Mytilus edulis: one gene and its partner. The protein of the gene in region 1 purifies or fractionates together with the protein of each later gene. This does not show direct contact. Links are inferred from orthologs where the notes say so. Each region holds a gene or a part of one and is shown in the gene's direction. Other genes may lie near its edges.

Region 1 (8,145 bases):
GGATTTTGGTGGGTATTTGTCTAATTGACACCTTACCGCATCTGCTTATTGTTGTATTATTCTCGAATCAAAGAAAGATAAGCCTTTTTCATTAATGTTTCCAATCGCGATATTTTTTTACCGTTTCTTCGACGATTTTGCTTATTGTATAATTGAAATGTTAATACATGTTTTTTATGTAAAGTTTTATTTGAGTACTTCATTTTTTCGATTGGCTCTGTCTGTGTTCTCCAGAAACATACACATAAAACTAAAAATATATGTACAATGTAGGAATATATAAAATCTATTAATACGAGTTTTAGAAACAGGCTCGCCGAGCTTTTCTCTTGTTTCAAGAGAGAACAAAATAATTGTTTCGTAATCGATAATTTCAACATTTTCGTTCGATTTACACGGAAGTTGAATACTGCAAGAATGTATTTGTATAAATAAAAAACAAAAAGTAATTTAACCCAATTTATACAAAGTTGGTTAACTGCATGAGAAACAGGTTACTCTAATAAGGATATCACCGTCATGCCAAATCTAAGACCTTATTGAAATTGCTGAAAGTTGTTGATTTTTCTTGTGAGGTTGGTAATTGCAAAAATAAATGTTATCTTCAAATGTATCAGGAGATTAGACTTTTTCTATTTTCACTTCTAGTTTCTCGTGTAAAATTGAATATATCACATGTAAAAGAAATCATGATCATTCAAATCATAAATGCATTTTTAGTTTTACAATAACCACATAAATAATTACAAACTAAAAACAGTTTGGTCTGTTAGATAGTTGTCTCATTGGCATTCATACCACATCTCCTCATTTGGTAACAGTATCAGCAGACGTTATGCTCACATTTTATTAATTCTTTCTTTCTTCTTCATTTCTAGATATCTTTCAGTCAACAAGAGTCATGAAGATTTCTGTTTGTATTCTACTCTGTCTGATGTTAGCCTTCGTTGGAAGTAAGTTATTTTATATAGTTATCAAAGGTACCAGGATTATAATTTAGTACGCCAGACGCGCGTTTCGTCTACATAAGACTCATCAGTGACGCTCATATCAAAATATTTATAAAGCCAAACAATAACAAAGTTGAAGAGCATTGAGGATCCAAAATTCCAAAACGTTGTGCCAAATACGGCTAAGGTAATCTATGCCTGGGATAAGAAAATCCTTAGTTTTTCGAAATAGTGTGTTTTTCTTGTGATGTTAAACTATTGTTTCAGAAACGGGAGAAGGTTTATTACCATTAAAACTTTTAATCCCGCTGCAAATGTTTACACCTGTCAGGAATCTGATGTACAGTAGTTGTCGTTTATGTATAATTCATACGTGTTTCTCTTTTCTCGTTTTTTATCAGGATTAGACCGTTGGTTTTCCTGTTTGAATGGTTTTACATTACTAATTTTTGGGGCCCTTTATAGCTTGCTGTTCTGTGTGCGTCAAGGGTCCGTGTTGAATGCCGTACCTTTACCTATAATGGTTTACTTTTATAAATTGTTATTTGGATTGAGAGTTGTATCATTGGCACTCATACCACATCTTCCTATATCTATATACAAAAATTCAAACTCTGAAACATTGGTTATTGTCCTCCTTGCTACAATACGTTCGCTTTAACTTTAGCAAACAAATGTTACCGCTGGTTTGGAGTTTGACTAATTTCATATAACCAGGGTTGGTTTCTTTATCTCAATCTCAAAATAAGACTTAACGAGTTTCGTTTCTAATTGTAAATGTTGTCAGTAGATCTGATTTTTTGAATATTTTTTTAATTTGACATTTTTCTACCGAGACGTTATTGACTTTCTTGAAACGATGTCTTTGCAATGAATAAAATGGCGAATTTAGTTTTTGTGCGTTAAAATGCATGCTTGATTTCGTTACTTTATTTTTCATTCTTTTATATGCCCGATTCTGTTCAATTTTTGTCTTGAAAATTTACTATATCAGCATATAAACCATAAAGTGTTTTTCAATTGTAATATAATTGTATAAAAATCGTTATAACAATAACTCGTATGAAAATGTATTTCAATATAGTCACAAGTCATTATTTAAAAAAATATCTATTTAATCTTTTCAGCTAGCATCGCAAATGAAGAAACGCTTGCAAATCGTCTTTTAAGGTATGATATTTGATGATTAAATGAAAAGTTCGCTATAAAATATAACAATAACTATTTGACAAAGAGGCCGTGTATATTTTTTTACATTCTTATTGCATATCATTTTACGTTTGAATTATAGTATTAAATGGTATTTCATTAACAACCTGGTAATTACTCTATTATTTGCAACCGTACCACATCTCCAAATTTTCATAGCAGTAAAAAAAAATCATTTGGAATTTTAAAAACAGAGAGTCAAAAGAGGACAGCAATTATATCATAAAAAAACCTGACGTCCGATATAGCTTCTAGTTTCATTGTGATGTTGGTCGCTTTGTCATTGACGCATTTCGCCACATTGCTTTTTAATTGTACCTACTTGTTTGAAAATATACAAAAATATTCTTATTTGTAGCCGCGAGAGACGCCGCGCTCCTCCTCCATTCTGCCTCAGTTATGGACAAAGATGTCGATCTGCCTCGAAATGTTGTTCTTATAGATGTGTTTACGGATATTGCAAATAGTGAAAGACTTGCTGGATTTGGACATGATGAAATGGATGATTATTTGAACAGCATGTTCTTGAATTATACCAAGAATATTTTTTAATTATTTAATAAAATTGATTATACAATGTTAATTTTTCATTGAAAGTTTTGTCAGGTTTGTTTTGAAAGAAACAATCATTTTGGATAAAAAAGGAAATGTTGTTTTAGTTTCTTAACACTAAGTTACAAGCAGACACTTTAAATTGCATTTTTGCATTCTCACATCTAAATTCATGCAATCTTGTAGGTTTTTATGAAAATTGATATCATCAGATGATATCGGCAATGTCTTGGTGATTTAGAAAAATAATTATATAATATCAGTTACTTTTACAGGAGTTATGTCTCTCTGAAATTTAATTGATATTGAACATTGTATTGTGAGCATTCTCACAACCTCATTTCTTGTTGAATTTTTTTTTATGAGGCTGATATCAGCCAGGTTTTGTAAGAGTGCCTACAAACTATTTTATAGGAGTCACGGCCCTTGGAAATATAAATACATGGAAAATAACATTTTTTATCGATCAAATGCCTACATTTCTTGTAAGATATTTAATCACAGTTTGATGTCCTTCATTGGTTATTTCCTTTGGGCAGATAAAATATGTGCAACGAGGGAGACTTTGGAACTCATTTACTAGTATATCAAGAGAACACCTTTTATCACCTTCGCGTTTTCAAGCGGCGTTTTTCATTTGCGCCGATTTTTTCTTTCATTTGCATGCGCCGATTTTTATTTTCATTTGCGCAGATTTTTTTACAGGTAAATCACAGGTGAAAAGATATAAGAAGATGCGGTATGAGTGCCAATGAAACAACTCTCTATCCCAGTCATTTTATAGTTGTTTATTCTTTAGTTTTCTATGTTGTGTTATGTGTACTATTGTTTGTCTGTTTCATTTTTAGCCATGGCGTTGTCAGTTTATTGTCGATTTATGAGTTTGACTGTCACTCTGGAATCTTTAGTCCCTCTTTCATCTACCATTTATCAACCTCTTCCGTAAGCCAGTTGTATAAATGTAATGAATTGTCAATCATAACATGTATATAACTGTTGTCCTCTGCTCACTACGGGGAGGTTGAAATAGGGTTTCGAGCAAGATAAATCAATATAAAAGCTATATACAAATGTATTAACATACTTTAAAATCAAGAAGTAAAAACCTAAGATAAAAGCACTCTGTTAATGCTAAATTAAGGATTCAAATCCATTAAAACGGAATACATTTAAATCATATTTTTTTTCTTGTCGAGTGTGTATAGGCAACACATCTATGATATATTCCTATAATTGTCGCTAACGGGGTCCATCTTTTCTTTGTCTGACTAACGTACTGATGCGAGCATTTCTATAGAGTTCGCATTTTAACATACGTTACGGCCTTGGTTTTCTTGATAAAATCTGTAAAAACATATAAGTTGGGGTGCAGCTGCTCAGAAATGAGGTGGATAGCGTTACAGTGTGCATATATATGTACTTAGTCTGTATGCTAAGAATGTAAGACATTTGTCATCAGAAGGAGCGTCAGACATATTGTCAAACGTGAAGCAGTCATTGATTTCATTTGGGGGAAGGAATGGTAACCCGAAAAAATGGGATAGCCATTTACCAATGAAGGCTTAATTTGTCTTTATACTCTGTGCTCAGCCCATGTAAACGTATTTACTTACCTGTAACTTACCTGTAAATCCAATTAGAAGAACAAATAAAATCGGCGCAAATGAAAAAATGAAATCGGCGCAAATGAAAGAATCAGTGAAAATTTTCAAAATCGGCGCAAATGTCATACGCCCTTTTCAAGTCTATGAAAAAGAACAATTTATAGTGACACTAAGACGTAACTTTCTGCATACACCCCGTCATAGAATGGGCTTTAAATTAAATGATACTCTACCACACTCCTTGAAAATATTATGTCAAAAAACTCATTTATCTAATTGATTTTGTTAGATATCAAATATTAAAAAAAAATAGTTTTCTCTGTTTGCATTATAACGTATACCTACCCATAATTTCCTTGATTCCATGTTGAATTCATGAGTTCAGTTGTATACATAGCAGAGGGGTCTTAATTTCAACTTGAAAAGCCGTATATTTACTTCTCAAAGTGTTTACTATTTTCCTGGGAACAGTATATCTAACATAATATATATGTTCCTGCTATTTTCTTATAAATTATTTACAATGTTTATAACTTAATATACAGTGAGATAACTTTTTACCTATTATACTGACAAATTGAAAACATATTGTATAACATATGTCTGAGCACGCAGTCTGACATCGATGTCATCGATAATAAATATTAAAATCAACATTGATCAATTTAAATTTTCCCGCGCAATTATCTTTATGGGTCATTTTCCAGCATCTGTTTTACTTCCGGTTGCAGTGATTGGGGAAAACAAAATGTCGCTCGACAAACAAACTCCGGGACAAATACTTACATTTATCTTTGTAGACGATCCTATATAGCGTTAAAATGGGAAAACTAAAATGTTTTGAAATCATACTTGCGGGAAACAAATCTGTTTTCCACCCAGGCGAAAAAGTATGTGGGAAAGTCGTCGTCGATCTGAAGGGCGACATGAAAATGAGATCTCTGCGCATTTTTATGCGAGGGGTAGCAAAGGTACACTGGACTGAATCAAGAAGTACAGGCAGTCGTCTTGGTTCTTACACTGAACATTACAATGCAGAAGTGGAATATTTCTTTAAAAGACAAGTTCTGTTTGGAGGAGGTAATTTTCTTGTCGGTAAACATTAACACAAATGAACAGCTGATTAAACTATTTTCATAGACAGGTCAGGTCGTTGGTACCCCTACTATGGGCACTACCAGTGTAGAAATAGCTACATTTGTATATAAATGAGGCCTGACCAATAACTTGTATAGGCTCACTGAAACATTGCCTTGTTTGTCAAGATTCTCTGCATGTACAGTAGTTAAAAGTCTGCAAGAAAAAGGGTGGTCGGTAAAAGTGGTAACCCGAACCCGGACCCGAACCGGAATTTGCCGGAAATTTGCCAAACCGGAATTCTATTTTACATATATTATGATCTTTGCGTTTCGATTTTTTCTACTAACGTTTATGCATTTGATGTATAATTTAATTCTATCTCATGTATGAAAAGATTTTTGTCCAAACATCACTAACAAACAAAAATTTAAGGTTTATTAATTTCCACCTTGGTAAAAGTGGTAACCCGAACTCGGCAAGCTATTTTTCTTTATATCTCTGTAATATATGAATTCTTGAATGGACACTCAGACTTCGTTTGAAGTAAATCATCTTTTATATAAAAAACACAAAGATTTTTCCAAGCTGTATAAAACGTAACGATTTATTTCATTTCTAAGCGAATAGGTGGAAAACCGAACCCGAAAGGGAGACCACTCGGTTTTTTTAATAGTATATAAAAAAAAATCTCCGAATTTGATTCATTGCTGTTGTGCCGAAGTTTGCGTTAATTTATTCTAATTGATTCGAATATTATTCACCTCTTTGGTCTCCGGAAGATTTTTGTAAATATGATAAATATTTGTTGTTAAGTTGCTGTCTCATCAAAATGTACTCCAAATCAGATTTTATTGAAATATCATGGTATATTAAAAAGAGAAACGCATTTCAACGAGGTGAAATCAAATAAAAATAAATTCATATTTATATATATTCTCTTAGTAAAATAAATATGGTACAAACACATTAACGCGAACATACGTCGCCTTACTTAGTGAACTTCAAAAACGTCAAATTAGCGATGCTGTGACATATTGGTAGACCACCATGCGACCGCTTCATTTTGATGATTTTTAGATTTCTCTGCTTTACTTTATTAACATCAACATGTTCCTTTTACAAAGGAATTTGATTTTATAGTGATGTTTTTCAAAATACTTATGTTGTTTTTACTTTTTTTTTGAAGATTTAATAGTAACAACTTGTCCTTTTAATAATTGTAAGAAAAAATGAAAACGCTTACATTGTGACATTTTGGTAGACAACCTTTCGACGCATTGATATTCGATACTAATCGATAAAAATGTTTGATGTATTGCTTGACCCGTATGGGTGTAATTTTGCAATAAAGATTTTTTTATAAGAATGTTATTGTCTTCTCATTGGCAATTCTACCATATCCTCTTACTTGTATATTTATAATCTTCTGCGGTTTTTTTTGTTTGTTTTTTTTTAAATCGCAACGCTTGTTTGTAATTATCAGCGTGTGATTTATGCTTTGTAATCTCTTTGTGTTTTTTCCAAGTGTAAACTTTTTGAATGATGATCTGTATTATTCTTCGGTATTTCGTGTCTTATTTAAAGTATAACTAAGTTTGAAACTGAAATACAAAGCTTCTTTTCGTAGGTCAACCGCTAAATGGAGAAATTATCATTTCAAAAAATCGCGAAGATATATATGGGCAACTGTATAGACAGATATCTGTAACTGTAATAGACGTTTAGAGAAGGATATCTGTTGAGTTGCGTTGTTTCTGCTTCATTCATTATCTTCGATTTAATATTTCGAACCATCATTTTTTTCGGAAATAAAACTGTCCTAAATTTGTCAGAACATATTAAATCATCGAGATAAAAATATATGCCCACAAAGTTATAACATCATTAGCAAAATTCCACTGTTTATGATCTTCACACTAAATCCTTCGGATGTTGGATGTGTTATAAATAATAACTTAGTCTTAGATGCATGATTATTTATTAGTCTTTAATAGCTTTTAGCTAGCTTTCAGTACTTTACTCCCTGATCTGTATTTACTATTTAGTGTCTGTTTGTTTTCGAGATGTACAAGGACCCTTCCACGTTCACTTTGTGTAAAATTTATTTCTATTTGTATCCACCTGATGAGTTGAGCCTTTCAAACTGATTTTTTAGCCTGCTCTTATGTTGTACAGTTAACATGTTTAACATCGCCATATTCTGTATATGCCTAGGCCTAACCAAAATTATGAGCCTGCAATCCAGTGGATGTCGTTTGTTGCTGTTACATATTTGCCTATCGTTATTTATTTTTTGTGTACCTAAATAAGGCCATCAGTTGACTTGTTGAATTGTGCTACATTTGTCTTTCAGGGCTTAATTAATAGCGGTATGGACATAGCTCACTGTTAAAGACCGTACAGTAACCTATAAGTGTTAGTTTCGGTGTCATTTGGTCTCTTCTGAAGCAGTGGCGTAGAAAAAATTTTGAAAATCTTTTTATGCAGAAAATTATATATTTTTTTCGGACATTTTCTATTTGCACGTGTACTCCCCCAGAATCCGACACTTGTTAGATTTTTTATGTAATTTCAAAATACCCACCAGGGGCGGATCCAGGAATTTATTAGGGGGTGGTCACCTTTTGAAATCTTAAATTAAAATTCAATTTTTTTATTGGTATCATGAAAATAGTTACAACTATAGAATATATATTTCCAACATAATTTTATTGTTTTCTCAAAACTACCATCATTCAATTCATAAACAT
Region 2 (6,616 bases), about 23 Mb from region 1:
CGGAGGCCTTCAAGTGGGGATTTAAATAATCATTTGTTACAAATTCTGATACATAAAATGAAACTTTCTTTTCACAAATCATTTAAGGAATTTATTTTAAATAATTGTTATAACATCACTTACAACAGTTTAACTTTTAAGAATATTAATGTCCAGAGCTGATATCAATAAATAATAATAATAAAAAAAGTTTATTCATGGTAAAAAAAACCAAAAAAACTTTTAAGTTAATAGGGACCCGCGTTATTTCAGAAAATATCTTATTGATTAAGAGAACAAAAACTTCTACGTTGTGGTCATTTAAGAGTGGCCTTGTATTTATTCAATGCTAACCATGTGGGCTTTGTTTTTTTTTTATATACCATAAATCGATTCGTTCATTCAGATATTTGTCAGTTTGCCTTGGCTCTTCAAGTCCAACACACAACTTCTCACGAAATTGGTATTTTTCTTACAAAAATTACATCCATGTGATGTATTCTTTTCATGGAGAACGAATGTTGCACCTTATTTTATTTGTTATCGTGTTTTTTTGTGTGTATCATTGACGTATAAGACAACCTGAATCTTCTTTATTCAAATTTAAAACATACGAGATGGCAATTATGACACAAAATAACTAAATTAAACTTACAGCAGAAGAAATTTAATGAACATCGCTTTTATAGTCTTCTAAATATCGAAGACGCGTGGTCTTTTTAAAAATGATGTAAATTTATAAGGAAACAACAAACAAAATAGTTCGAATATCTATACATGTATTGGAAAAAGTAACGGTGTGTAAATCATAACAATTATTTTATTTCAATGAAATCAAACTGTTGAATTTTTTCCGCTGCGAGGAAATTTTTAATTTTGGTCGCATTTTGAAAATCAATAAATCTTGTATTCTTGTTGGAAGCTGCACTGTGTAGTTTATACCCGTTTTTTTCAATGCATGGGTAGGCATTATATTCGTGATTATTTTTGCCCGAGCGATATCGAAAAACTATTATAAAAAGTGTCCTAGTTCAGTGAAAATGTACGTCATACTTATTTCCTAAACAAATAAATAAACAAACATTAATTAACATACAACACTACCAAAGGCCAGAGACTCCTTACTTGTATGATTTTGTAAAAAAATGCATCTTTTTAAAACAGTCGAAAACAAAATTGTCTGTCCAATTGAAAAGTCGAAGCCCAAAAAAGATGAACAGTGCATTATATAAACATAGAAGCTGGTTGCAAAAGTTGACGACAAGATCTATTTTATAACTTGAGTATGGCCTAATACTATTAACCTGAAATAAATATATTTATAGCAATTCCCTTGATACGAAAGATCTACATGTTGCCTTGGGCTTTTTTTTTTTCTTTTTTTTTTGCTCTTTGGTTGGGTTTTTGTCTCAATGACAATTCAATTTTCATTCTTATCATAGATATAACTGCATGTTAAAATAAGAATATGAAGTGTGATAGACAATCAGACACATTCTTTCCAGGGACCAACAGGCGTTATCAAGCTATAGGTCCCCGTATGGCCGTCGACCATTAGCAAAATACACACTTTATAGAATGAAAGAGGTCTTGGGATGAAAAAAACAAACATAAAAGATGAGCGAGAAAAAAAAATAGGGATACCGCATGGAAATTGGAAAATGGTCCGCAACATTAATTTAGTCAACTCACTTAGTTGAAATTAAAGACCTGGCGAATTTTAGCCTTTTGCAATGGATGTGATGTATGTTTAAAAAAAAATCATGGTTTGTTTGGACATTTTTATAAATCAAGTCTTGTTTTTAAATTATTTGCAAGTAAGTTTTAAGTCATGAACAAATAATCACTCACAGAAAGACGTCAAATCCATCAACAAAAGAAAAAAATTAATAGACGACCGACAACGCACAGAATATCATGTATGTGTTCCGGACCAAATGAGTATTTGGACCATACGCATATATCATGACCATAAGGGTATACTAATATGGTCCAACCATACACGTAAGGTCCAAATACTCATAAGGTCCGGAACATATTTTATTTGCGATCACAAATGCACGAAGACGTCCATTTCTATGTAAATTGGGTCGATTTTTTTTATATAGATAAGATGAATGCGTTTCTGTTGCCAAGTGTTTTTCACAAGTATAGTAGCAGTATAGCAGAACGGTTTAAGTTTCCTATATACACCAAATGATACATTTTGCCAATACAATAACGTAAATGCATGCAAATTTCACAAGGTTTAATCCAAATAGCTTTCTTATTATCCAATAACTTTCAAGTACGAAAAAGACAGGGCAGAAGTATATTTTGTCTTTATGTTTCGTATTTGCACAACTTTTGAAAGTGGATTATGCATTCGTTCTAAAATAAAATTAGACCAGATAAAAGTTAAAAGATTACATAACTCGACAATCGAAATTGTTAAATCCGAAAAAGATAATCAATCAATACATGCATTCAGTAAGTCATTTTTTTTTCTGAAAGAACATGGCTTTGCGATATCTTATTATGAAAATTGATTGTCGAAACATAACAAAAACACAAGTAAAGGACGTTTAATTAATCAATATAAATCAAAACACAAATTCCTGATTAGTATTTCGAATTATTTTATATAGGCGTTGAGAACCTTTGGTGACCCCACGGTTTAAATGTTTATATTAAGGACGTCGTGAGCAATGGGCGTTATAGACGATCGTTCACCTAATCTGTCCCAGTTTAAAGTGCGCCAATCAATGTCCATAGCCACACTGTTATGAATTCGATACTAAGTTTATTTTAAAACATTTAGATATAAAATTTATTAACCATAACACTGCTAATTTTCCTATTGTTGAAATATTAAGATGACCACAAAGCAAACAAAACAAGTGAAAAGAAATATGTTTTCTTGAAAGTGAAACATTATTTTTATTTCAAAGAGTCTTTCTTGACACACTAATAATCTTCAGGTCTGCATTAATTTACGGAATGCTTTTGATATTAACAACACACAGAATGAAAACTTTCTAAAAAAATATTTTTAAGTTATAAAGTTAGTATTATGGATGCACATTCACATTGATAAAAGTACCACTTAGGAACGAACCTAATGTTGTTCAGAATACTTTGTACGAATTTCAAACATTATGATAATGGTTGTGTTAATTTTGTCAGTCCTCGTACATCAATTATTCTAAATCACATTTCAAATACTGTGAAAGATTATTCGTTTGAAAAGGTCATTTTCATCATAACATTATTTGAAAAGTTGGATCAATGATATGAAGTCATGTTTAGTTTTTTAGTCAATTTTCGGACGTGTCCACTGTGGTAAATTCAGTACTGTTCAGACATTTAGCTTGCAGTCAACTGAGCACTGTTCAATTGCTTTTTAAACAAGTCAGTATAATATTGATATTTACAGGTAAATAATAACGAATTTGGCCACAGTGTATAAGTTTGATAATCGACTGATAGACTTAAAATTACACAACAATTTATTGTTCAGTCCATTTGTATATGTTCAGATTAAAAAGACCGTTTTAGATTTAAATTTATTTGATTATGAATTTTAACATGTAACTCAAGAAAGAAACACTTTGCATGTCTGTAGGTAGACCCAATAAGTCCTTTCATCTTTACATATACAGAATTGCAGGTCAGATAATGGAATCGAAATCTGAAGAAAGAGACATAAGTTATTAGATCAAAAAAATAAATCATGTTAAATATTCAATTGATGCATCTTATACATTATTTTATCAGCTAAAGAGATAAGTAACTAATCAGTTTATTCATTTCATAAAAGGCTAGTATCAGCAAGATACAGTATTGTACTAAAAAATATCCTGCAAATTGTTTTCTTCCTCTTTCTAAAAAAAAATATTTCTATATTTAGTCAAAAGCAACATGGAGATGCAATTTAGGTAGAGTAATTTAGATATGACGTATAAGAAGATACAATTTTATAACTTAATTGGATTACATTATATTAATCAGTTATTGTTAGAACTAATTGGTTGGTGTTATCCTCCTGCTTAAGAGTTAATATGACAGACATGTTGACAATAACACATGCTTTGACAAACAGTGTAGGAGTACTGTATCGTTCGCCATTCGATAGTTTTTGTTTGTTTAACTGATAATGATCATGCTTTGTAAAAGTTGCTATTTTGGGATCGAAGTAGTTCATCGTTCTTTAGCGAAGTTAAATTTTCTTAAGTTTTGTTTTGTTTATTGTGTTGAGCGCGATTCTCATAAATTAAACACCTTTCACTTTATGCTGGACATTTATTTTAAAAATAGGAAACCCTTACTAAACAAGACATCTTTAATGTTTATTTTCATCACTCATGATGTTACAGATCAGCAAAGAGGTAAATTGCTATATTACTTTTTGGACCTTTTGGATTATAGCTTTTGATCTTTTATATAAGCTTTGGATTACAAATATTTGGCCACGAGCATCACTGAAGAGACATGTATTGTCGAAACGCGCATCTGGTGCAGGAAAATTGGTACCGTTAATGTTATTACAGTTGTTTGTTTGATTATGATTTTTTAACCTATTGCTTAAACATCATACGCATATTTAGCTTTTACATTTATCAATCTATTCGAAACTTCTTCTTACAAATGTATTTACTTGTCTTTTTATATTTATTGTACTTTTGTTCTCACTTCAGATTATGTAATTGGGATATTGAAGAAAGAAACGTGAAGCACTGTAAAGGCATGACGTTTTAGATTATCCTTTGTTGGTTTGTCTTTTATGATTTCATGCTGTTTGGAAATGAACGATGTTAAAATCACAGATGTCACTGCAATCGCCAGAGATGATGCTGAGATTACATGACAACGCAACAAATAACAGTTTTGTAGTTAATGAAACAACACATACATCTTTACATGTGTTTTTATTGGTGATAAAATCAACAGTCATGACACTTATCATGTGCACTGCTGTAGCAGGGAACCTATTAGTAATTGGAAGTGTTGTTAAATTCGAACGTCTTAGGTCACGTGTGACAAATTACTTCATCGTATCTTTGGCCTTTGCTGATATTTTAGTTGCCGTTCTAGTAATGCCATTCAATGCCAGTATGGAAATTAGTGATAAATGGATATTTGGGTCATTTATGTGTGACATATTTAATTCGAATGACGTATTATTCAGTACAAGTTCAATTTTACATATATGTTGCATAAGTATGGATCGCTATATAGCTATCATGAAACCTTTAAAATATGAGAGAAAAATGACGAAATTCCGTGCTTTGTCAATGATTGCCGTTACATGGATAGCTTCACTCTTGATTTCATATATACCAATTCATTCGCAACTCTATACAACACACGAAAACGCACTTGTGTTGAAAAATAATCCGAATGCTTGCACTTTTGTTGTGAATCGTTTATATGCTATAATATCGTCCAGTGTTTCATTTTGGATACCATGTACTATAATGGTGTTTGTTTACATAAGGATTTTTATTGAAGCCAGAAAGCAAGAAAAACATATCCGGTCAGCTAGTGTTTGCTCAAACAAATCAAATGCCTTATATCCAGGTAGAAACGCTCGTGATATTTCTGATCGGAAGACTATGAAAAGGGAGCATAAAGCTGCAAAAACGCTTGGAATAATAATGGGCGTTTTCATTTTATGCTTTTTCCCGTTTTTCTCATGGTATTTAATTACAAGTATGTGTAAAAACTTTTGTCCATACCCACCAATACTAGGAAAAATTCTATTTTGGATAGGATATTCTAATTCGTGCTTGAATCCAATTATATATGCTTATTATAATCGAGAATTTAGGCAAGCTTTTAAAAGACTGTTAAAAATGAAGTCTCAATTTGATTCGTATAATTTTAATCATTGTTCTTCCGGTGATACGAAAGACACTGCTAACGTTCCCTTGGTTTATCTTAATGGCAATGGTGGACCAACTTCAGTGTAGGCATTTCATGTAAAATGTCAGAACAGAATATGGTCTAAATACAATCAAACTTCATGTGACAAAATAAAGTCTTCATAATATATATGTCTACAGTTGCTAGTATTTTATCGTTGATAAGTATTGATATACAATACATAATTGTTTCAGGTACATTAGAAAACGTTTTTGAACTAAAAGTGTATATAGACTGTATAAGCTTTTTTTTTCGATATCCTAAATCCAGAAATATATACATCTTTATTAGAAACTATATCCAGTGTGAAAACAATTCATATTACGAAAACAAAACAGCATTTACATATCTCTTCTAGATGATAATACTTGCTGTTGTTATTCATCAACAAACACATTATTTGGTTTCAAAGATGGACATGCAGGATACTTCAACAAACCTCTTCCGAAAGGGGTAGAATTTTCAACATTAATCGTTTTCCGACTAAAGACTCTACAATAACATGTCTTGACCGTCTGTATTTAGATCATTTTCAAGCTTTCTATGTACTGTTATATTTAATAAGACTGTATCATAAGTCCATAACTGCTATACGTACAATTTAAAATATCTAAGTTCGTTGTGCATGTGTATTTTTTCACAAAAAGAAACATGAACTATGAATATCATTTTGTTGTTGTCTATTATGAATTCGGTACATGTCTGAATATCTATGAGATGATTACATGTTCAT

What was found. The genes of interacting proteins can lie anywhere in the genome.
Region 2: the proteins of arrestin domain-containing protein 3-like (region 1) and octopamine receptor beta-2R-like purify together in Homo sapiens (affinity purification with western blotting; 6 studies listed by BioGRID and IntAct, with this or other methods). This does not show direct contact. The link is inferred for Mytilus edulis from reciprocal best matches to the Homo sapiens genes ARRDC3 and ADRB2.

The regions. Positions count from the first base shown.
Region 1 is NC_092347.1:60,067,474-60,075,618, forward strand, and holds the start of arrestin domain-containing protein 3-like, read left to right. Parts: upstream 1-5,028; 5' UTR 5,029-5,136; coding exon 5,137-5,395; intron 5,396-8,145. Other genes in the region: uncharacterized protein, read left to right, coding at 879-953, 2,518-2,711. UniProt on the Homo sapiens protein: Adapter protein that plays a role in regulating cell-surface expression of adrenergic receptors and probably also other G protein-coupled receptors.
Region 2 is NC_092347.1:83,094,039-83,100,654, forward strand, and holds octopamine receptor beta-2R-like, read left to right. Parts: upstream 1-4,659; 5' UTR 4,660-4,769; coding exon 4,770-5,930; 3' UTR 5,931-6,055; downstream 6,056-6,616. UniProt on the Homo sapiens protein: Beta-adrenergic receptors mediate the catecholamine-induced activation of adenylate cyclase through the action of G proteins. The beta-2-adrenergic receptor binds epinephrine with an approximately 30-fold greater affinity than it does norepinephrine.